Linked DNA regions of Drosophila melanogaster. The protein of the gene in region 2 purifies or fractionates together with the protein of the main gene of each other region. This does not show direct contact. Each region holds a gene or a part of one and is shown on either strand. Other genes may lie near its edges.

What was found. Proteins that work in one complex are often made in the same cells at the same time.
Region 1: the proteins of Fas2 (region 2) and dec purify together in Drosophila melanogaster (affinity purification with mass spectrometry, with the first as the bait; 2 studies listed by BioGRID). This does not show direct contact.
Region 3: the proteins of Fas2 (region 2) and pio purify together in Drosophila melanogaster (affinity purification with mass spectrometry, with the first as the bait; 2 studies listed by BioGRID). This does not show direct contact.

What each region holds. Positions count from the first base shown.
Region 1 is NC_004354.4:7,866,008-7,875,178, reverse strand, and holds dec (defective chorion), read left to right. Parts: upstream 1-1,956; 5' UTR 1,957-2,031; coding exon 2,032-2,184; exon of another isoform or gene 2,185-2,257; coding exon 2,258-4,673; intron 4,674-4,730; coding exon 4,731-4,993; intron 4,994-5,177; coding exon of another isoform or gene 5,178-5,191; coding exon 5,192-7,132; 3' UTR 7,133-7,275; coding exon of another isoform or gene 7,276-7,945; 3' UTR 7,946-7,980; downstream 7,981-9,171. Other genes in the region: Ir7c (ionotropic receptor 7c), read right to left, coding at 1-353; Ir7b (ionotropic receptor 7b), read left to right, coding at 8,211-9,035, 9,089-9,171. UniProt on the Drosophila melanogaster protein: Required for proper assembly of the eggshell.
Region 2 is NC_004354.4:4,201,875-4,209,136, forward strand, and holds the start of Fas2 (fasciclin 2), read right to left. Parts: upstream 4,220-7,262; 5' UTR 4,026-4,219; intron 1,613-4,025; 5' UTR 1,387-1,612; coding exon 1,317-1,386; intron 1-1,316.
Region 3 is NT_033778.4:24,579,450-24,585,459, reverse strand, and holds the start of pio (piopio), read right to left. Parts: upstream 4,216-6,010; 5' UTR 4,092-4,215; exon of another isoform or gene 3,620-4,091; 5' UTR 3,382-3,619; intron 1-3,381. Other genes in the region: CG4681 (uncharacterized protein), read left to right, coding at 5,862-6,010.

The DNA.
Region 1 (9,171 bases), 3.7 Mb from region 2:
TTGTACGGACTGCCCAACTGATTCAGGTACATCTCCAAGCGAAAGTATGATCGCAAACTGTCCAGGAACCAGATAGCAATGGGTCTGCCCGTTAATCCACTTGGAGGTGGCGGATCCGTATCGGTTTCCGTCATCTCCACACGGTCATCCTCCAGCAGAAACTGAATTCTTCCCGTGCCCGATGATCTGCCCAGGGCGGCATCTATCAGATCGTTGTGCAGTCTTCTACTTTCCCGACTCGTGGGGAATTGCACCACAGCCAGTGGTGTGCTGGTGGCCATTCCATAGTAGTTATCTATGGCCCAAACGAGGGCGTAAACCAGGCTCACATTGTGCACGGCGCTGTGCAACATCGTGTTTCATCGGTGGCTCCTAGCAAACTGATGTCCTGCACTTTGGCCAACTCCATCGCATGACGGGTTTGCAACGCTGGAAATATTAATTGATGAGTGTGATGCCAAAACATTCTGATTACTAAAGGTTTTACATCGTAGAAAAAGTACTACTCGTAAATATTGTTTCATTATTATAATAATGATTTTTGTAAATAATTTGTTTTATGCATATTTGAATAGCAGTTCTCATAACACTTGGCATTTTTTTCTGTGCATCAGCTCGTTACTAGTATCTAAACAGGAATCACTTAACTGACGGGTCAAATTGCGTGCTGAAAGCTCTATCGGCGAAATCTGAAAATGCAAATGCACAATAAATTAACTTTAAATATATAAAATCCAAAAAGCCGTATACACATCGATGTTTATTGCTTTCACATTTCTTGTGTAAATACAAAAAGGGCACGGTAAATATACTTGAATGTAGGTTATGGAAAATATTTGATTACATTGGCAATATGCCAATAATTACTAAACATATTTTTTAACACCTTTGCATTGCTTTTTTTTTTTTTGCTTTTTGACAAGCCTGACATAATTTTGCAGAGCTCAAGGGTTATTCAAAAATAAATAAAAAAAAAGAGTTGTAAGATATCAATTATAGTCAAAAAATGTATTTGATTCTTTGCCATACAAAACCACACCTGTGTTGTGAATAATATTAAGATTTTAATTCAATGAGTTTTTTCTTAGGCAGCTTACGCATTTCAGTCGCCGGAATCGTGATTAAATGTGAGATAGCTGCGGCTCATGAGTAATTTTATAAAGATCAGAGTCTGCGTTAATCCGAAACCAAATCGGAGCCAGCCAAAGGTCGCTGTACCGAGTTTCGTTTCGCACTTTTTGCTGACCTCCACAAAAGCCACCCGCTGCGATGACAGAAGCTTTTGTTTCTCGTGTCGTGTCTACAAGCTGAACCACCGCTGACCTCAGCAAACCACGGTGGTGGTGTTGGTGGTGCTTCTGGTGACACATAAACCATAAGACGATCGCAAGAATTCTACGGATCGACGCTTGAAGGGCAGACACACCACGGCCCTCAACAAAAATCAGGGGCGGATTGCGCTGCAGTGTATTTCTATCTTTCATAATGACTCTTTAAATGTTATAATATTACCGTTTCCTTAAAGAAAGTTTTTGTTTAAATATTTATTTCAATTGTTTGTTTTTTTTTTTTTTAGTTGAGAATTATTAGTGGCAAAAGAGTGACGTGAAGATAACTTCCCCTATTGATTTCGCGGCTTTGTGGTATATTTTCGGCGCCTTCCGTGTGATTCCAGACCTGATTTCGTTCATACTGTCTACTGTGCATCATTTGCGCTGAATTCGTGGAAAATGGTGGTGAGCGGAATAGTTGGGCAAGGTTTTTTGCAGCAAATGCAGCTGCGACGGCTGCTGCGGTCTGTTTTTCAATTGGGGGCACACACACGGAAACACTGGCCGTACCCCGGTGCGTGTGGCGGACCCGGGTCCGGGTCACGATTTTGAAGACGTCTGCAGTTCTTCGCCGCCGACGCGGTGGCAAAAAATCTATTTGGACCACTAACCGGCGGCAGTCGGCAGTCAGTCGGCCAACGAGCTCCGGCGAACACAGATCGATCTTTAGCGATTTTTCCGAGTTTTGCCCAAATACAGGATGAGATTGTTTAGCCTTCTGCCGCTCCTGGCGCTTCTTGTCGTCCAGGCTGCCGGACAAAGTGAAGTAACCTCTGATGATCCTGCAACGGATGCTGGATCAACGACCAATTCCACCACGGACACCAAACCAAGGATTCCCAGTCAGGATGAGGTGAGTACGATTAGAGAGAATTAATCATTGAGTTTGTTTAATGCAATCCTCTTGATTATATTTTTCAATTCAGATCCTTGGCCAGATGCCGTCCATTAATCCCATCCGCACTGGCAATCCCCAGATGGACGCATTTTACATGATGTTCCCGGCGTTGGGCAGCCTGCTCAAGTGGGGCAGCCTTTTCCCAGCCTACTCGATTCTGGGCGCCATTCCCGACAATCTACAGCCTACAGCGGCAGCCTCCAAGGTGGTCCTTGTCCTGGCCGATGATGCGACGGCCAAGACTCGAGTTGCCCGTCAAAATCCGCCACCAAATCCACTTGGTCAGCTAATGAATTGGCCCGCTCTGCCGCAGGACTTCCAACTGCCTTCCATGGATCTGGGACCGCAAGTGGGCTCGTTTTTGGCCCAACTGCCTGCTATGCCTACCGTGCCTGGTCTTCTGGGTGCCGCTGCTCCAGTTCCTGCTCCAGCTCCTGCTCCCGCTGCTGCTCCTCCTCCGGCGCCAGCTCCAGCTGCAGATCCTCCGGCAGCACCTGTTCCAGATGCACCCCAACCAGCCATACTGGGACAAGCCGCTCTGCAGAACGCTTTCACCTTCTTTAACCCGGCTAACTTTGATGCCTCCAGTCTTCTGGGCCAGAGTGTACCCACATTTGCTCCTCCAAATCTTGATTTCGTCGCTCAAATGCAAAGGCAATTCTTCCCAGGAATGACACCGGCACAACCTGCTGCCGCTGGCACGGATGCCCAGGCCTCCGACATTTCCGAGGTAAGGGTACGTCCTGAGGATCCGTATTCGCAAGAGGCACAGATGAAGATCAAATCGGCACTTGAAATGGAGCAGGAGAGGCAACAACAGGCTCAGGTCAAGGATCAGGAGCAAGTGCCTCTCCTCTGGTTCCGAATGCCCACAACTCAGAATCAGGATGCGACTGAAGAAAAGACTCTGGAGGATCTGCGGGTCGAGGCCAAATTGAGGGCATTCGAGCGCCAGGTGATAGCCGAATTGAGAATGCTGCAGAAGATCGAACTTATGGCTAAGCAGATGAGGTCCAGCGCCGCAGCTCAAAACGGAGATTCACCCTACAGAATCAGTTATCCACTGAGTCGGACACCCATTCACAAGATCACCCGTGCTGATATTGAGCAAGCCCTTCGGGATGATTATGTCCGCCGATTGGTCAACAAGGAAGCGCAACGAAGGGCTAGAAATTCCGGCATAAACACCCAGAAGGCAAATGCCTTGAAGCGACAGGCCAAATCCCAGGATCAGACTCTGTCCAAGGAGGATATCGTCCAGATTATGGCGTATGCCTATCGCATGGCCAACGAACAGATGGAGAGCGAGAAGGGCAAGCAGGACAAGGTTTACGCGGCCTACAGGACGGAACAGAATCCAATGATGATGCAGCAAAGACAATGGTCGGAGGAGCAGGCCAAGATCCAACAGAATCAACAGCAGATCCAGCAAAATCCAATGATGATGCAGCAACGACAATGGTCGGAGGAGCAGGCCAAGATCCAACAGAATCAACAGCAGATCCAGCAAAATCCAATGATGATGCAGCAACGACAATGGTCGGAGGAGCAGGCCAAGATCCAACAGAATCAACAGCAGATCCAGCAAAATCCAATGATGATGCAGCAAAGACAATGGTCGGAGGAGCAGGCTAAGATCCAACAGAATCAACAGCAGATCCAGCAAAATCCAATGATGGTGCAGCAAAGACAATGGTCGGAGGAGCAGGCCAAGATCCAACAGAATCAACAGCAGATCCAGCAAAATCCAATGATGATGCAGCAAAGACAATGGTCGGAGGAGCAGGCCAAGATTCAGCATGATCAACAGATGGCACAACAGATGGCACAGCAAGGTCTCATGATGACGGAGCAGAGGCAAAGGCAGTGGTCAGAAGATCAGGCCAAAATTCAGCAGGCTCAACAGATGGCCCAACAGACACCCATGATGATGCCACAGATGCAACAAAGGCAGTGGACAGAGGATCCCCAAATGGTTCAGCAGATGCAACAGAGGCAGTGGGCAGAAGATCAGACCAGGATGCAAATGGCCCAACAGAATCCAATGATGCAACAGCAGCGACAGATGGCAGAGAATCCGCAAATGATGCAGCAAAGGCAATGGTCCGAGGAGCAGACCAAAATCGAACAGGCTCAGCAGATGGCACAACAGAATCAAATGATGATGCAGCAGATGCAGCAAAGACAATGGTCGGAGGATCAGGCCCAGATTCAACAGCAGCAGAGACAGATGATGCAGCAGACCCCCATGATGATGAAGGAGCGCCAGTGGGCGGAGGAGAACCCCCAGTCTGTCCAGCAGCAAGGGCCCATGATGATGCAGCAGCAGATGCCATCGATGATGCAGCGTGAAGTAGAGGACGAAGATAATAAGGCAGAGGATGACTTAGTTGGCGAGGCGGGACCCCAAATGCCGGAGAACGAAGGCACCGCCAGGCACAAAGGTAATCTCTTCGGAGTCTTTCGCAATCCTGACTCAGTGCCATCTGTCTCTCCCACAGTCGATGCCCTGGGAGTTGGCGGCAACAAGCGCAAGAAGTCCAAGTCCAAGTCGGCGCCGCCAACGGTAATTAACTATTACTATGCGGCACCCCAGCGTCCGGTGGTTCAGAGTTACGGAACAAGCTACGGCGGAGGTGGCTATGGATCGAATGCCTATGGTGTTCCTCGTCCAGTCAATTCGTATCAAAGTCAAGGCTACAGGGCTGCCGTGGGTAACGATGAGGTAGATGAGATGTTGCGCCAGCACCAGACAATGGCCAGGGTAAGTTGAGATTAGTGTTAAACCACTCGGATATACCAGACACCACTACAACCACACCACATTGAGCACCACAACCACACACACACACAAACACACACAGCCATACACTGGAACATGTAGACAGTTGCCTTCATTTGATCCATTTCATACGATTCATTCGCCTTTTTCTCATGGCATTAAACAGGCGACGCATTTCAGACAATAAACCCGAAGCAACCAGGCGAAGTCGGTGGATCGGAGAGCCAGAAGAGCAACTCTAATCCTCCAACGACGTTGACACCAGCTCCACAAGAGCAACCGCAAGAGCATCGAGTCCACAAAAGGTTAGCACATTTCCACAGGTTTGGGCGAGAGGCAGGGTTAAATGCGACCACATCCAAGGGTTGCGGATGTGGCAGGTTGGATTGTCTGTGCGGCAGGAGTTGTCGATGCGGAAGAAGAGGCTTGGAATCTAGAGTGGTTTCTAGTAGAACTTCGGGAACTTGCCAGTGCAAAGCCAGTCACCGGAACAAGCGTAGCGTTGAATATGGAACCTTGGAGACCATCGATGAGGGTTCTCTTAACGAACTTAGAAGAGAATATAAACTGGGACTAAAAGAGATCACGCTGAGTCCAGATGAAGATCCCGCCGAGGCCCTGATGCGCTACAATGCGGCCTCCATTCGCGAAGCTTTGGAGCGAGCCAGTATGGAACCGCTGGAGATCGGTGGGGATCAGTATGAAGAGGATGCGCAACAGGAGCCCATGGAGGAGGAGCAACTACAGCATGATCCCAACACAGAGCCCCAGTACAATCATAAGGACTTTGTGCGGCTAACCACTTCCACAGCATCTCCGATCACAAGTACCACAGAAGCTGCCACTCCAACAGGCAGTGACTCTACTTCAGAAGCAACTGTGACACCTGAAGTCACCACCACCACTAGCACATCCACAACAACAACAACCGAAAGCACCAAAGATGAGGGACTGGACATGCAGCAAGACTCACAGGCTGAGGCTGAGAGTTCTCATGTCACCAAGTCGATATCGAAGCAGGAGGCCGAGATTCATCAGCTGCACAGTATTGTGGAGGAGCTGAAGAATGAGATCCTTAAACTGAATTTGCGTTGCAGCACGATAATATCAAACAATGTGGCCAAAGAACCGGTCACAGAGAAGAACCCACCCGTGGTGGAGGAACCATCCAAGCAGGAGGATAAGCCAAAGGTGGAGGAGAAAGTGATTGCCGAAGAGCAAGCCCCAGTGGAGCAGGAGGAAGAGCTGGAAGAGGACGAGGATAGTACCTCTATTAGTACGACCACAGAGACTCCTTCACCAAGTGGTAGTTACTCAACAAAACCTGGACTTTCCCTTGGATCGCCTAGAGTGGATGAACAAAGTGGCTCGTCCAATAAACTGGACTACGACGACGATAACAATTGGCAACGCATTCTGGCCAATCGTGGCTATGACACGGACTACCTAACCAAATCCCATGAGCGTCAGTTTGCCCAGGGTCAAAACCTGGAGATGCCCAAGAACTGCAATTACGATGGAAATGGCAGCCAAGAGTATGGCCCCTATCCGGAGTTCCAAGCAGATGAACCCAGCACGGATACGGAGGGCAAGGCTAAAAGGGCTTTAAGTGTGAAACAACAGGCGCAGCTGCTCAATGCGGCCCTAAATGATAGTGGAAGCGATTCGAGCGATGGCACCACCACCACCACCACACCCTCTCCGTACGCGATGAGGGGAAAGTTTGTGAGACGGAGGAGCACGGCAAGAAGGGTTCCCATTCCAAAGATAGGAAAGGCGAGCGACGAGGTATGGGTACGATCTCCTCGTCAAGCGAAAATGCCCCAACGACCCAAGAAGTCCATGTCCAAGCCGAAAAAGCAGAGCTCGCAGGTGACTACGCAGGCCACCGTGAGCAGCACTAAGCTGGACAGTTTGGTGGATGTGCTCAAGGATCTGGTGCGCCTGCAAATTCAAAAGGAGAAAAAATCCAGCCTATTAAGAACCCAGAGCAATAACCTTTCGAAAACCAAACCCAAATCTATTAAGCCCGTCAAAGTCATCAAGCGAAAAAGGTTGCGCAGGAGGCAACACAAGTCTATTGCCACGACCATCAGGAGTCCCATTCAAACGAAAGCATAAGATTTCAGCCCATTTAACTAATTCACAGATCCCAACTAATCCTATACATAATTTAGATATAGTATAAGCATATTCACTATTCGTTCGCAATTCATTCATATCCATCCATCTTTCATTTGCATATCCCTCGTCCATATCGCCAGTCCATCATCAGCACCATCCGAAACCGAAATCGAAAACGCACCATCATCTGACCCCCAAGTGGGTTCCATTTTCACCTACGGCGAGGGATTGCTGCATCCGTTTATGGGTCTGCTGCCGGTGGAGAGGCCCGATGATCCGTGGAACCAGAAGCCATACGATCCTCACCATCCTCTCTACACGGGCGGTGGGAGCTACGATGCCTATCTGAGGGACGGTCGCCATCGAAGGGACACGCACATCATGGGTCAAGGTACGCAGCATGGCATCCTGACACCCGGCATGTTGGAGAGACTTCTTCGGATCAAGATGGATTTCCAGCGTAGATTTCCCCATTTGTACAAGGGTATGCTGAATCACCATACGAATCTTACCCGTGTAGAGGTACAGCCTCCGGTTCTGGGCAAGATTTCTAAGCCGAAAACTAAGACCAAGCCCAAGAATGAGGACGAACCCGTCTTCGAATTGGGAGCCGCTGAGCGTAGCCTGTTCGAGGACGAGACCAACGATTCTTTAGAGAAAGATCCCGAACCAGAACCGGATGAGGAGGATGACCGGGATGTGGAAGAGCCCAGCGAGAGCAGTGAACCTAGGGGATTCAGCAGCAAAAAAAGCCGGGATGAGAACGACATCGATTACTTCAATTTCGATGACGATGATGTTGATGATTGACTTTTATTATAATTGCCAATAAAAATTAATATTATAAATGTAGAAACAAGAACATTTTCCAAAAAAAGTAAGGGCTATCAACTCTTTTTAGCCAGCCTATAAATCAGTATCGTTAACAGTAAGTTAGTTTCCCAAGGGAATCGACTTTAATGTGATATGATTAACGCGATTGGTCCGGGCCATTACCAAAATTTCCCCGGGGATCTGAAGACTTCAGTACTCCAAAGTGGCCACATTAACACATTCCTTTGGCAACTCTTTAGCCATGAAGTACTGGTTATATATACTTTCTTGCTGCTCCTTGGTGGCCAGTACAATGGAATCCAGTTCGGATTGGGACTTGGCGGAAGCTCTGGCTCAAGTGGTGGCCAACTCGGAAATGGGTCGCTTCAAGACCTTGTACATATACACCCACACAAATTCCCAGTCAACTGGTGGCCATTTGGAGGAGCTGCTTGACCAGGTGCTGATGATTGTGCCTAACAATTTGCAGGCACGTAGGCTCTTGCTCCAGCAGTCCATGGAGTATAAACCATATGTCCATGCTGTCTTGGCTCTGGTCGATGGTCTTCCGTCTCTTTCGGCGATCTACGCTCGGATTCGAGCCACCCAGGATTTGTCGCACACACTGATATACATGTCCATGCCCACGGATGCATATGGTGAGGAGATGCAGGCGACCCTTCGATTTCTGTGGCGACTAAGTGTACTGAACGTGGGCGTAGTGCTGCGTCCACCTGGCGATCATATCCTCATGGTCAGTTACTTTCCATTCAGTGCGTTACACGGCTGCCAGGTAATCTCGGCCAATGTAGTAAATCGCTACCAAGTGGGCACAAAACGTTGGGCTAGCCAAGATTATTTTCCTAGCAAGTTGGGGAATTTCTATGGCTGTCTTTTGACCTGCGCCACTTGGGAGGATATGCCCTATTTGGTTTGGCGTCCCGATGGCAGTGGCAGCTTTGTGGGCATCGAGGGTGCTCTGCTTCAGTTCATGGCTGAAAATCTAAATTTCACTGTGGGTCTCTATTGGATGAACAAGGAGGAGGTGCTGGCCACTTTCGATGAGTCGGGCAGAATTTTCGATGAGGTGAGTCTTGGATCTAAATCCAGGTATTGTTATACAATTTGTGTAATTTTCAGATCTTTGGCCATCATGCCGACTTCTCCCTAGGTGGATTCCACTTCAAACCCAGCGCTGGCAGTGAGATTCCCTACTCCCAGTC
Region 2 (7,262 bases):
AGAATTTTATCACTTCTTTGGACGGGGGGGAAATTGTAGAAAGCGCTGCGGAGCACAAGGGGCGAAGAAACTGAGTTAATTAAATTCGACTTTCTGCGGTATTAGAACATTTTAAGAGGCCTCGCTGAGAAATTCTCCGCCAGCATCAGCTTTTGTGGTCCAAACCGGATGCGGTAATTGCTGGGAAGTCGACGCTGGACTCTTCTTGACTTTACCAACTTTGCCAAGAAGTTTGCGACGCAACAAACTCTGTCTGAGTTATGAATCTTCCCAGTCGATATAACTAACTTCACATTTGCTGCTAGTCAGTCCGGTTTAATGGGTTTAAAGCTAATTTCAATCTGCGTTTCTATGTTCTATCTTTTGGTCCATCATTTGTTAATCAGTTAATAATTATATAAGCTGTGTTTGCACCTTGTTTTTTTTCTTTCTAATTTTTGGTCTTAGGCCTAATTAGCTGATTATTTTCAATAGTTTCTTTACTCATTTCAGGAAATGTTCCCAAAATCCAAAGAATCATGGCAACCAAGTCTTATTTATTATTTAACAGGCAACTCTTGCGCAATAGTTATCAGCGTTTGTTTGTCCCAATTTTACGGCTCCAAAGTCAGGTGCCGGAATTTTAGGAGTATCTGCGATTGTAATTCCCTCATGTTAACTGAAAAATTTACGATATTTGACCAGCCACGGATATGGTCTGCTCTAAGGTAAAGTAAATATTGACTCTAGTCTCTTCTGGGAGATTGCGATAAGGTAAAAGATGATTTTAGTTTTCGTGGGATGTTATTTTCTTATATTTCCTTAGGTCTCTATTTGCTTAGCGTTCGTTTCAGGGTCGCCTATCATCAGGTACATAAGTGCAAGTGCTCAGGTAATTTGTCTGCCTAAATCTTGTGCTATCTATCATATAGGGAAACAACAACGATTTGATATGACCCTCTCGACTGATAAGCGGATTTAAGCTAAGTCAAAAGACCTCTGGTTAGCCATAATTGTGGCTTTATAATACAAACGCTTGCCGTTTGGTTACATTGGTATATTGCCAACTAAGCTAATGATATGTCAATTTTTTGGAATGATAGTTACCAGCCAGGTGGAAAATTTAGGGCATCACAAAGGTGATGATGTGACACAACTATTGAGATTAAAGGTGTTAATTCTATTTCTCCGGCTTAGTTTTTTCTTTTCAAAGGAGAAGCGGCCATAAATTTTCGACTTTAGCACAATTCGTGCGTTTGGGTTCTATTTCTAATTATAATACCAAATTGAAAAGCACATATTGGGAATTCGGGGAGCGTTTTTATACCCGTACTCACCTATTAAAGAGCAGCTGCAGAGGAGCAGCGCCAAAAAGACGCCGACTGAATTTGGCGGCAATTCACCCATTTTTATCGCTGTTTTTGCAGTTGTAGTAGTTTTCTAGTTTTCCCCGCTCGCAAATAGCTCTCGTTTTAACTTCTTTGGTTTGTTTACGGTTGCACACGAAAAAAATGTTTAAAAAATTTCAGTTTGTTTTCGCTGCTCGTGATTGCACAAATTATTCTATTCTGATTAACACTTTGCGTTCGGTGTCTTTTGTTTTTTTTTCTTTTGTCTGTTTCGGTGTGTGAATCTGAAAGTATATTGATAATGAAAGAAAGATGAATTAGCTAAGCTTTTAATAGTAATATAGATAGGGTTTTTTTTTAGTTTAAATTCATGGTAACTGGCTTTTGTGGTTAGTCAGATTGGGCCTTAGAAGTTCATCTGCATTTGATATTTGTCATAACTTTAGCATTTTAGCTTCAAATGGCAAATGTTGGCATTTATGGGCGAGGAGAAGAGGAAGAAGGCAGTGCAAGCGAGACAGCGCGAGCCGATGTTGTGTGCGTGTGTGCCTTGTCTCTTTTGCATTCTCTAAAATCGGCGGCGGCAGCGAAGAAGAAAAAAAATGAGAAAGGAAAACGAAGAAAATAAAACTTGCTGCGCCGCCGACTTCGCACATGTTGGCCAGTTTTTGTAACGGAAATTACGGTGCTCTCGGCAGTCGAAACACGTAGTGCAGGGGAAATATGGTAGGAGCAACACAGACACAAGGGGTAAGGGAGGGAAGGGGGGCTTTGGATAAGGTAGGAGAGGATTGCTTAAGCTGAATTTTATCTATAAGTTTGTGTTCTCAGTAGATCGTTATCTTTTGGGTTCGAGAGCGAAATGTATATTTCTTATCGGCACATAAGTTCGTGCGTCTCTCCAATAATTCATGACTCAAGCTTTGTCTCTCTCGCTCTCTTTCGCCTTCTCTCTCTCTCTATGTCTACTGAAGTTGCACCTATGCTGAGTGTCCTTGAATTGCAACAAGTTCTAAAGTACAGTTATCGCTCGCTTTAGAGAATATCGTAAACCAAATAAAAAACGGTTGAGTTATAGAATTGAACGTGACTTCAATGCAATGACTAATAATAAAGGTAGAATAAGTGATCAATAAAAGTTAATTTTCATTTACAGTGACGCCTTGCAAGCAGTGCTCTTTTTTTTTTTTTTTTGAAAACTCATAACAGTCCTAGCAACAAAAAATATTTGCATGCAGGCGAGGGAAAACTGTAGTTACTTCCTCGCGAGCTCGTCTTGCCACTAATCCCGCCCACTTTGCACAGCGGAACTTTCCCACCGCACCCCCTCATTTGGCTTACGGTTATTACAGTTACTGGATAATCGATATTTAGGGCAGGCCTTGACTTTTTTTTTCATAGGAACCGCGCGTATGTGTGTCTGCGGCACGCGAAATATTCTTGAGAATATTTCGCTTTCATCTCGCTTCATTCTTGCTTTTGGCAAATTGAGACATTGTTACAAAATACCCGCGAAGCAGTTTTAAATATTCATAAAGTTTCGAAAACGCTAATTATAATGAGAGACTTGGCCAGAGGGGAAGTTCTGGCAACGGTAGAGTTTTTGTGAATCTGTTCAAGTTGCACAAAGTTTAGAAGTTTTCCACTTGATATTCGTGAATTATTAATGCTGTCAAATGATTTGATTTTGACTTTCGGCGCGACCGACAAATTGTAATTACATCTGCCGTTTTGATTGCCTAGAATTGGACGAACTCAATAGGATTTTGTAGTCTTAATTAAAATATGGCTCGGTTAGGTTTGATAAAACGCAATAAACTAATTTATTAATGCGAAACTAACATCTTGTTCGAAAAACTGCCAAAAGTAAAGCGGCAAAAGTTTTCAAATAAGCACTCTATGAAGTCGATGAAGTTAATTTACCAACTTTGAGTTTATTCCGACTTGTTAACAGTTTAAACAAATATTTTTAATCACATTAAAACTTTTGCAGAAAGCCGCAGCAAACGAAATAAACTTTTTGATATGCGACATAAAGGCAATTTTGACAGACAAAGGAAAAACGAAACCGACTGAAATTGGTCGTGAAATTTGAGAATCTATTCTTTTCTATTTTTTTTTTTTTTTGTTCTGTGGTTAACATTCCAGATTAGTTGTGGAATCAATTTGCCCGGCTTTTCCTAATTCTTAACGTGTTTCTTTTTTGTATGTTTCATATTTCCTATTTGCCAGCTGCAAGCGTGAGTCAATTTCCAGTGCACACTGTTGGTAGTAACAACAATAAAGTTGGCAGCGAAGCGGGCCCAAAAACCTGTTTTCCGTTTTATTTTTCTTGCTTTTCAGGTGATGTTGCTCTTTTTTTTCATATTTGTTGTATGCACTTTTCCAACTCGATTATTGGGTGAGTTTTCAAAGGGTTTTCATGGAGGTTTTCATTGAAATAACTTTTGCACGTGACTCATTGGAATCTTGGGCTAAAACAACAAAACAGCATAGACTCAGCAGAGCGAGAGAGATACATTTGTGTATTTTTTGTCACACGCTAAAAAAAAAGTTTTGAAAAAAAAAATATGTACAAGAATGCCGCCAGTTTATTTTTGGTTTTTGTGGAGCTGTCTCGACATGTTTTTTGAGTTCTTCTCATGCACGGCCAAATAATGGCTGTTATGAGCAGTTATTATTATTATTTATTATTACCAATTTCTCATTGTTTAACTGGCACACTAACACACACGCACACGACGCGCCACGACCGTTAACACATACGGTGAAGAGAGCGCGAGAGAATGCGAGTATGAAGAAGAAGAACCACTTCTGTTGTCTCTATTTGTGTTTTTCTTTCTCTCAGCAAGCAGAGCACTCGACGCGTTGGCCGTCGAAACGTAACTGAAAGCACCGCTAGCGCTGCCGCCGCAAAATACCACAGCTATTGCCGCGCCACAAGATCTGGCAACCCCAAATGTTGCCAGCCGATGCGACGCAGCATGTTGCCAACCGAAAGTAATCAAGCAAGGGAGATGGTAGAAGTTTAAGAAGTAAAGTGCATAGATAATAGCAATTTATAAAACCGAAAATCTGAGCTCTTTTAAAATGAAATTAATTTACATAAATAACGTAATAAGTGCACAGGAATATTAATATCAGTTATTGGCCAAATATGTTTTCAGTGGAGACTAAAAGAGATGGAGAGTGTCTACCGTTAGGCGGCGAAGAATTCAGCTCTTTTCTTCTCGAGTGTCAGCAAGGTCAAACGACAATGGGCGGAGAAACTGGGCGGTGGCACTTAAGCCCCATTTCGTCACTTTTACGAGCGACTGGTGTCAGGTTTTTTGACACGTTTTTGTTGCCCAATCTTTGTGGAGCTTTGTCAACAAACTTTCAGAACGAAGCATTAAAAATGTAACTACTTTATTCGGGGGCACATTTAAAAGAGCTACACGTATGTACATATATTACGCAAAGTGTGCTATCGCGAGGAGATGATGTCTAGCTAAGGTTTTTCCGATTGATATGCAAGATGAAAATCTCACACTTCGATAAGTTTTGTAAGAATATTCGGGAACACTATCTAAACATCCTTCGAAGTTAGCAGCATGTTGCCGAAACCTCTTGCAACATTTCGAAATGAGGAAAACCAAAGTTTAACGTCTTATTTTTCGGCACAGCATTTTACGATCTTGCTGTCGAAGTAACCGACGAATGCTGGGGGGAAAATCGGGCGGGTATGCAAGACGAATTTTCCGGCTGGCAACATTTCGGATATTTCGGAGACGGCCACTTGTTGCCCGCGCAACATCGAGATTCGATTCCAAACAAAAACTTCTTTTATTTTCAATTGCCGCGCTGTCAATTAAACCAGCCTGCGGAAAAATCGTGACGAGGGGGGTGATTTTCCCCGGTTAAGTGGAAACAAAAAAAAAAATCGCAGTTACGTTTGAATGCGCTGTGTGCAATTTACTAAATGAAATTGCGTATAGATGCCAATGCGATGTATTCTGCAGTTATCATTGTTGTTTTGTTTCGTTTGTCGTTTGTGTGACGGAGCAATTTATCACCGTATACAGAGGGGATATATGTACCTACATATATCTATATACCAGCGACACCCCTCCCCCGCCAGAATCACCAATAAGTGATTTATAGGATTGTTATTTTGTCGTTGATGTCGCACTTTCGCTGCGCTTTATTTATTGCTCGGAATCTTCCTCTATCTCCCACACACAAAACAAAAACCCGATACGCCCGATTCGCCCGATTTGGAGTGCGTTAATTTTATTTCACAGCCGGCCGAATTTTCCGAACTTTTCACAGATGAATATTGAATTGATCGGCTGGCTGTGGGAACTATGGTGACAATCGTTCTTCACGCTTAATTTGCTAATGCGTTCGACCTTTGACCCATGATGTGCCAACGATGTGAACATTTTGGCTATCAACAAATAGGATTTAACACGATTGCATTTAAATGTATTGGCGATTTAAAAAGCAAGAATGTAATATAAAGAAATTAGAACATAAATATAAATAAATAAGTAATTATTTTAAGAATCTTTGGTCTTGGCACCAGTAATCTGATGTAAAAACAAAGGAAATATGCCCATTTCCCGCCGAGAACTGCAATTATTTAACAATTATGGGAACCAGTGAACAATGGCGATAGTTTATATGTTGTTCAAGCCTACTTGAAATGGTTTCGCCTGACCTGTGACCCCGAAATCCGACTATCTGCTACCTGATTTGAAGCCAGCCAGCCAGACAAATGAAGACGTCGATTTAGTTTTCGGATGGGTGGTCCTCGAATCAATCTCCAGCTATCTCGGCAATTCTGTTCCAATTTGTAGCCCGGATTGAGTTCGTTTTTTTTTTTTTTTTTTTTTTTTGTTGAACACCTGCATTTTTTGGTGGTGCATCGAGAATAGGTTCTCAAATGACGGTAACCGCAGCCCGAGATCATTAGAAAATGTTTAATAACTCTATAAGCAATTAGATACGAAGAGCTCCCCGCGCAATCCGCACCATTTCTGACAGGTTTTGTCCGCACCGAAGAACCAAAACTCAATTCCAATCTCGTTCTTGGCCAGAAACTTAAGCTGGGAATCATTAGTCCACAGGAACGACAGCCATTGAGCGGCCAAAATGATGAATTATGTTTTCAAATCGAACTCACAAAGCACAAATGTCGGGTACAGATACAAAGTGCATATCTATAGATACACTGCGGCACTTACATACAAATATGGACCAAGGGCCGGAGGTGCTAACGTCGGATGCCCAATAATTAATTGATATTTAAGCATTCGCATCATGAGTTCATTTTACCACGACTTGACGGCAGAAATCAAAGATGCACTCGGCCTGGAGAAAACAAACAAAAATTTATGGTATTATGCCTCTAACTTGGATCAGATTGATTCTTGAAGGATGTTGGCCCCAACTGAATGCCATAAATTATATTATAAGATAAAATCTTATTTACTTTATAATCACTTGTTTTACATTAAAAGAGTTTTAAGGGATCGTTTGTACTATTTTCGTAATGACACTTCTGCTGTTTTTCTAGGAGTTTATTACATTTAAGCCCTCGGTTGCCACAAATGGGTTAATGAGTATCTATTGCCATGGACATGGAACATGGAAACCCCTCAACTTTTTGGAGTGCGCCCACCGAACCCTTCTGTTATTATTATACCATTAAATGGCCCACTCTTTTCTCCAAATAACCCTAGACCCCAGGAGAACCAAAAACAAGTCGATGAGCCTCATCGCTTTGGTCTTTTCAAAAAGCAGTCTCATTAAACCATCAGGACAATAAATGGACACGAAATATTTTCACAGTTGACCTTTAATGGGCTCAACCCTGAACCCCAAACCCCTCGCAATACGAAAATTCCCCGCAACGTTCTAAACTTTCCAACTTCCGTCCGAATGGCAACC
Region 3 (6,010 bases), on a different chromosome or scaffold from region 2:
AGCCAGCGGATCGGAACGAACCTATAGCCACCCGGCGATTGTCCCAAGGTCAGTGCAATTGTCTCGCCGCAGCCATTGTTCGCCTCAAATGAGCTAACAATGCTGTTAATTTGCTGTTGGCCAATTGCAATAAACGCCAACGCCGATTCCGTTTATAGATTTAATAGATTGGGCCAACGACAGCCGACCAGGCTCTAATGGGCAATTGGCCATTAAGGCAATGTGAGAACTCGAAAATCGCGCATCATTAGGGGGTCTTAAAGTGGAAAAACGCAACTCCACCCTCTTGGCCAAATGCGCTGACCTGGTTGTTGCCACACGCATCAAACTGGAGCGTGGAGACATCGGGTCTTGCCACACACTGTGCGAACCAAGTTTGGGCTTAAGACCAAAAACTGCCCAATGCGTTGCGTGTCACTGCTCTTGCTGCTGTCACGAAGTTATGTAAGTTCTCTGCAAATGGCGAGCTTCTCTGCCATTTGTCAAGATGTCCAATTGGGCTCAAACCAACTGGCCAATATGCAAACCGCTGATTGGACACCCACAATCGCTCGGCCCGCGGCGCTGCCTAAATATATTTTTCTCTCCCATTTTGACGCCTAATTTTTGTGGCCGCAGGCTTGCTTATTGCCACGAAGAAAAAATATGTACGAAATAGCAAAAAAAAAAAAACAAACGGCAAAGAAATTCGCATTGAACGTGACTTGAGCTGAGCTGTAGACATGAATGTGTTTGATTTTTATCAGCCGGGTCTACAATATTTCAGTTTCAGCCATTTATTTTGCTCTTTTTGCTGTTGCCGTGCTTTTTGCCTTTTGACTGGCGCCCATTGTTACCCGCTGTTTTTATGGTTTTTTTTTCTTTCAGCCCAAAGGCACAGCTGAAACTAGTTTTGTAGTTCCGTTTTTGCTTGGCTGGGGTTTCGCGTCTAGAAGTACTAAAAATCCAGCCTCCCAGCTGCTCGTACATTGGCAGCTACTGCTGGTCAGAATCAGCCAAATTCATCATTAAAACTTATTCATTGAGCCCCCTTTTTTTTAAAGCTAATTATTGTTTGTGATGAGGGACTCGACTGATGAGTTCGAGAAATGGGCATTGCTTATTAATGACAGGCCGAGCTGACCTTACGTTTCCCATAATAAGTTTATGCAAGTTTCCTCGGCTCAGTACTTAAGTAACTAACTTTTGAGGAGGATTTCCTCTAAACCATAAATAGTCTCGTACTTGAAGTTAATGAGCGTAGAACTTCACTGAGATAAATCACTTGTAGTGTCATAAATGCTAAACTTAGACATTGATATCATAGACGATCGCTACTATATTACAATAATTTATTTATCTTATATCTTAGTGTCTGAGAACTTAACACACCAAGTATTGGCCACAGTTCTGTGCCCACTTCCTTCGAGCACAGTCCGCAGTTCAAAAGTCTTGGCCTGCCACTCCCCTTTTAAGGCTTGGATTTGAAAGTGTTTGGAATGAATTGAACAACCTCGTGGTCGGTCGACTGCAGTCGCGGGGTTTTGCGTGGGGTTGATCTAAGGTAAAAGCCTGCATTTAAGTCCGCTTGAGTTTGCCAATGTTGGTTTAATTCGCCAGTGGTGGTGGAGGAGGCTGGAGAGTGGGGGATCAACTAGCCAGACGACTTTTCATTTTGGCCGAAAACAAACAAGCAACCCAATGCAGAGTGTCCGTTTAACGGGGGGCAAGCGAAGCTTGTGACTCACGGCTGGGTTTGGGGCACGCCTTTCGCTAGCATTTGGGTTTTTGCATAATTAGTGCTGAGCGCCAACGTGTCGTATGAGTAATGCAGTCGCGAAGTTCGTTGCCTAAGTCTTTCGTTTCAACTGTAAATCAATACCAACGAGCAGGCGGAAATCTAACGCTGAAAAGGTCTTGGCCTGGTTGAATGACCTCACCATTTTTGGCGCTTTCTTTGTTAGTTCTTCCGCGGGAGATTATAAATCAATCACACAGCTTTTGGCAATCAAGCCCACACGCATTTCTCGGCTTAGTTCATAAACCCCCAAAAATCCGTCATATGTCTTCACTTCTCTCACTTAGCTGAGCACACACATCGCCAGGCAGCAAAATAATACGAAATTATACGTACAATCATATTTTCCGTCTTTACCTTATTTTGTGCCCGCTTCAAGGTCACTGCGAGTTGTTGTCTGGCTGTTATATAAACAAGTTAACTACACGATGGCTCAGAAACTGGTATTCGAGCAGCTCGGGCGCAGATTCGCCTTTTAATTATACAAATTTTACGCTTGCGTTGGCGTTCCTCGACGCAAAGCTTTCCGAGAATGCCGGAGAACTTGGAAATATCCAACAGAAGTTGGAGATAAACGCCTTTGGCGGATGAGCCATTATTCACTAGTCAAGGCGTTGTATTCAACGCAGATGAAGACCATTACATTGGCCAACTACAATATTTTGATGGCTAACAAACCACAAATTAACCAATTAATAGGCCATGCATCACCGAAAAGGGAAAGGCCGTGCATCACATTCCCATAGTCCAAAGATGATGCAAGTGTCGGATCGGGATGGGTTCGGGGTTCATCTCTCCATCAATCAACATTTCTAATTGCTTCTTTAGACGCCAACCCGAACACAATGGAACGAACATAATTATGGCTGTGTGATCCGTGGAAGTGCTAAAAGTTCCACAAGGAGAAGAACCCGGTCTCAGCTCATGTGGGTAATGTTGGGTCAGCCAATTAGCAACAGATTCTGGCTTATAATGGCCGCACACGGAGTGGGGGTAAATGTGAATGGACCTTTGATTCCAAGAGCCCGATGACACATTACTTATGCGGTGCGCATCCAGAAATGGGCATTGAAAAACGGGAAAGAAGGCAGGAAAAGCGGATGGAAGACGGATGTCCGTGATGTGGCTACTCAAATAGCCAATTGCCGATGGCCAACCCCATCGCGGCCATATTTGTGTCCCCAGATGATGCAACTGGCTGCGAACTTGGCAGCCAACATCGGCCACTGGCAACCTTGGCAAACAGGTTCAGATCCCCGGACAGATGGCTTCTCAGGCCGCTTTTCAGATAAGGCCCATTTCATTTGCACAGAAAACAGATTGCAACGCTTCTTCAATTTGTTCCCCCGAGTACAAGTATTGGTATTCCGTGAATTCCGAATTTCGAGCGAGGCGAAGTGAAGCCAACCGGTTTGGCTGATGGATTTTTGGCACATCCACAGCGTCGGCGATTTATGAAGTCATCTTTTAAGGCTGTTTTGGGTTTGTTTTTGCAAACGGCACAGCTTTGATTTTCTGCCTGATTTTAACTGTTTCTTTTTGCGGGTTTCGGGTTTCTGGTTATTCGATTATGGCTTTTCAAACAGCAACTCCGCAACACTCACCTCTAGCCAACTTCGCCCTTTTTGCGTAATCCAATTTGTTATGTGTCCGTTGTTGCGATTTCGCTGTGCCTTAAACTGGTTGCCCGGAACGATGATGATTTTAGATATTTTCACGAATTTTGGTTTCACATTAGTTTGATTTTGTTTTTATGTACTTCCTAAGTGTTTTTTTTTTTTTTTGCGGGCTTCCTCTATAATTATTTCGTTTTGTGGCCAACACTCGTTTTACATGTTAACGCTGCGGGAATTGCACATTTAAGAGTTGGCCAAGAGTGGTAAAGAGACGCTAAGAGCTGCTCTTTGTGCGAATTGTGGCAAATAATCCGAGCTGTTGTTGTTGCTGCTGCTGCTGCTGCTATTACGCCGTCTCAACACAAAAGACTGAGGCAACAAACTTCCCGACACTTTTGCACTTCCCCAGAAAACAACGCGAAATATTCAAAAGATTCACAAATCATTCAGCACGTATTTACTGGCCCGGTTCAACCACCCGTCGAGCTTAATCGCTTCCCAAGGGCAACAACAATCAGAGAAAATCACGACAGAAACATCACAGGCACAACAGCAACAACCGCAACTATTTCAAATCTCGGAAACCCATGAACGTCTCTTGGAGCCACGGAAAGCCGTTTCAAATCCACACGCACGATCCAATTAGAACCGGGTAAACGGAGCCATAACCGCAGAGCTACGCCACTCGAAAAACTCACGCACGATTCGGGATCGAAACGAATCGGAATAGCAATCGAAATCGAAGCGATGGGATCGATGGGATAGAGGTTCGTTGAGCGCTGTGGATGTGTCTCGCACACCGACCTGGCCAAGACTGACTGGGCCCGAAACCGAGCCACTCGCACTCCGACGAAAACGCCAAGACGATGGCCGACAACCGGTCTTGCCAAGATTCGGAGTGGCGGCGCTCTGGGATTTTCGGAGCAATTGGCAAGTCTATGTGCGCTCTTCCGACGATCTCTTCACTAAGGCATAGTATAGTATCGCCTCAATTGGCGGTGGCCGCGGTGTCGCTGCCAGTTTTACAGCAGCAACACGTCGTCCAGCTGAGCTGCACTTGATGACCGGCGGGACTGGCGGCCACGCTCCGCTGGCTCCCTTTAATACACCTACGGCTGCGGGTCCAGATTGTCTTTCTAATGAGTGCGGCATAATTAGAGGGTCGGGCGGCGGTCATCCCATATCGCAAGTGTGCACATAGAGAAACATTGGGCTGGAAACCTCAACAAAAAACCCTATATTCCCTAGCTAAGGTTTTTTTAAATTTAAATATTTTTTGCCATATTCTTTAATGTTTGTTTGTGATTAAAATTTATAAAAATGCTTTGATTCGAAGCACTCTAGACTAAGTTTCCAAGTATCCAGGTGGTATCCAAGTGTCTTTGGAGCGCCTCCAGGCCAACGTCATGCTTTCGGCCACAGCTGTGCGCTCGCAACTGGAAGTCAGGTTCTGCTCAAACTTGGCAGCAGATCGGTGCAATTATGGCCAGTGTGTGGGCTGTCACCAGAACACCTTGATGACGGCATATATGGCCACTGGTGGGGCTGACTGCTTGGACTGACGAGGCTTCTCTGTGGGACACATGCTGCTCTTCTTTTGTTTTACTCGGTAGGCACATAAATCTTGAACTTGTCTCTACATTCTGTGAACCCAGCGCCCTTGCAACCTCGAGATCCCAGGTGCGAGTACAGGTAGCTGTGACACCTCGGAGACCCCGAGTTGTTGTTACTTTCTGCCGTATTTCCCTTGAAGCTGCCCGTCGCTGTTTATACTTTAGTTCTATCAATATTTATTATTATTATGCGTGTTCCTCTGTTTCGGTTATACATGTGTGGGGAAAACTTGGATGAAGTGGACGAATTATTCTTTTGAGACGTGAGAGAATTCTACAAGGACTGGGATGGGTAAATCCCTCACCATTTGGCATTATAGGTACTTTACACAAATAAAATATAAGCATATATTTATGAGTGGAAATTTTTTAAATAATTTAAAATGTATTATTTATTTATTATATATTTATGTTAAAATAGTTAAGCAAGCTCTTAAGAGCATGGCCTGCCCACCTTATTGACTATAAATAAATTTAAATAAAAAATTTTCCAACTCCTCAATCCGTCGAAAAGGGGAAGTCCAAGCGACAGTCGTCGGGGGGACAATCGAACAAACCGAAAACCACCCCATTGAACAGCAACAGGACATGGAGTTCCGGAGGGACCAGGCCGATTCCCAAAAGGCGGCCGGGGGATTCAGGACTACGTAGCCGGGGTAACTGTCACTGTTTGGCGTCCGGAAAATTTATTAACTCCAGCCGAATTTATAGTATTAACCTTGATATAGCCGTGTGGAGCTACTAGCAAATTAAATCTGAGAAAAATTCAATGTGTGTAGATTGTCCAGGTCTTTTATCAAATCACAATCGTTGTTGCAAGAAACTTAGCCACCGTCCTCGCATCGACCCACCGTAATGGCCGAGCTTCTGTCCCGCGAGAAGGAGCTCTTTAAGATAAACCAGGAGCTGAATCTCCTGACCCTCAGTCCAGCTGCCGACGCCATGTATCCGGCAAAGGGGTCATCCAAATCCACGGCGGTGGCGGTGCCGCGCTTCGCCACCTT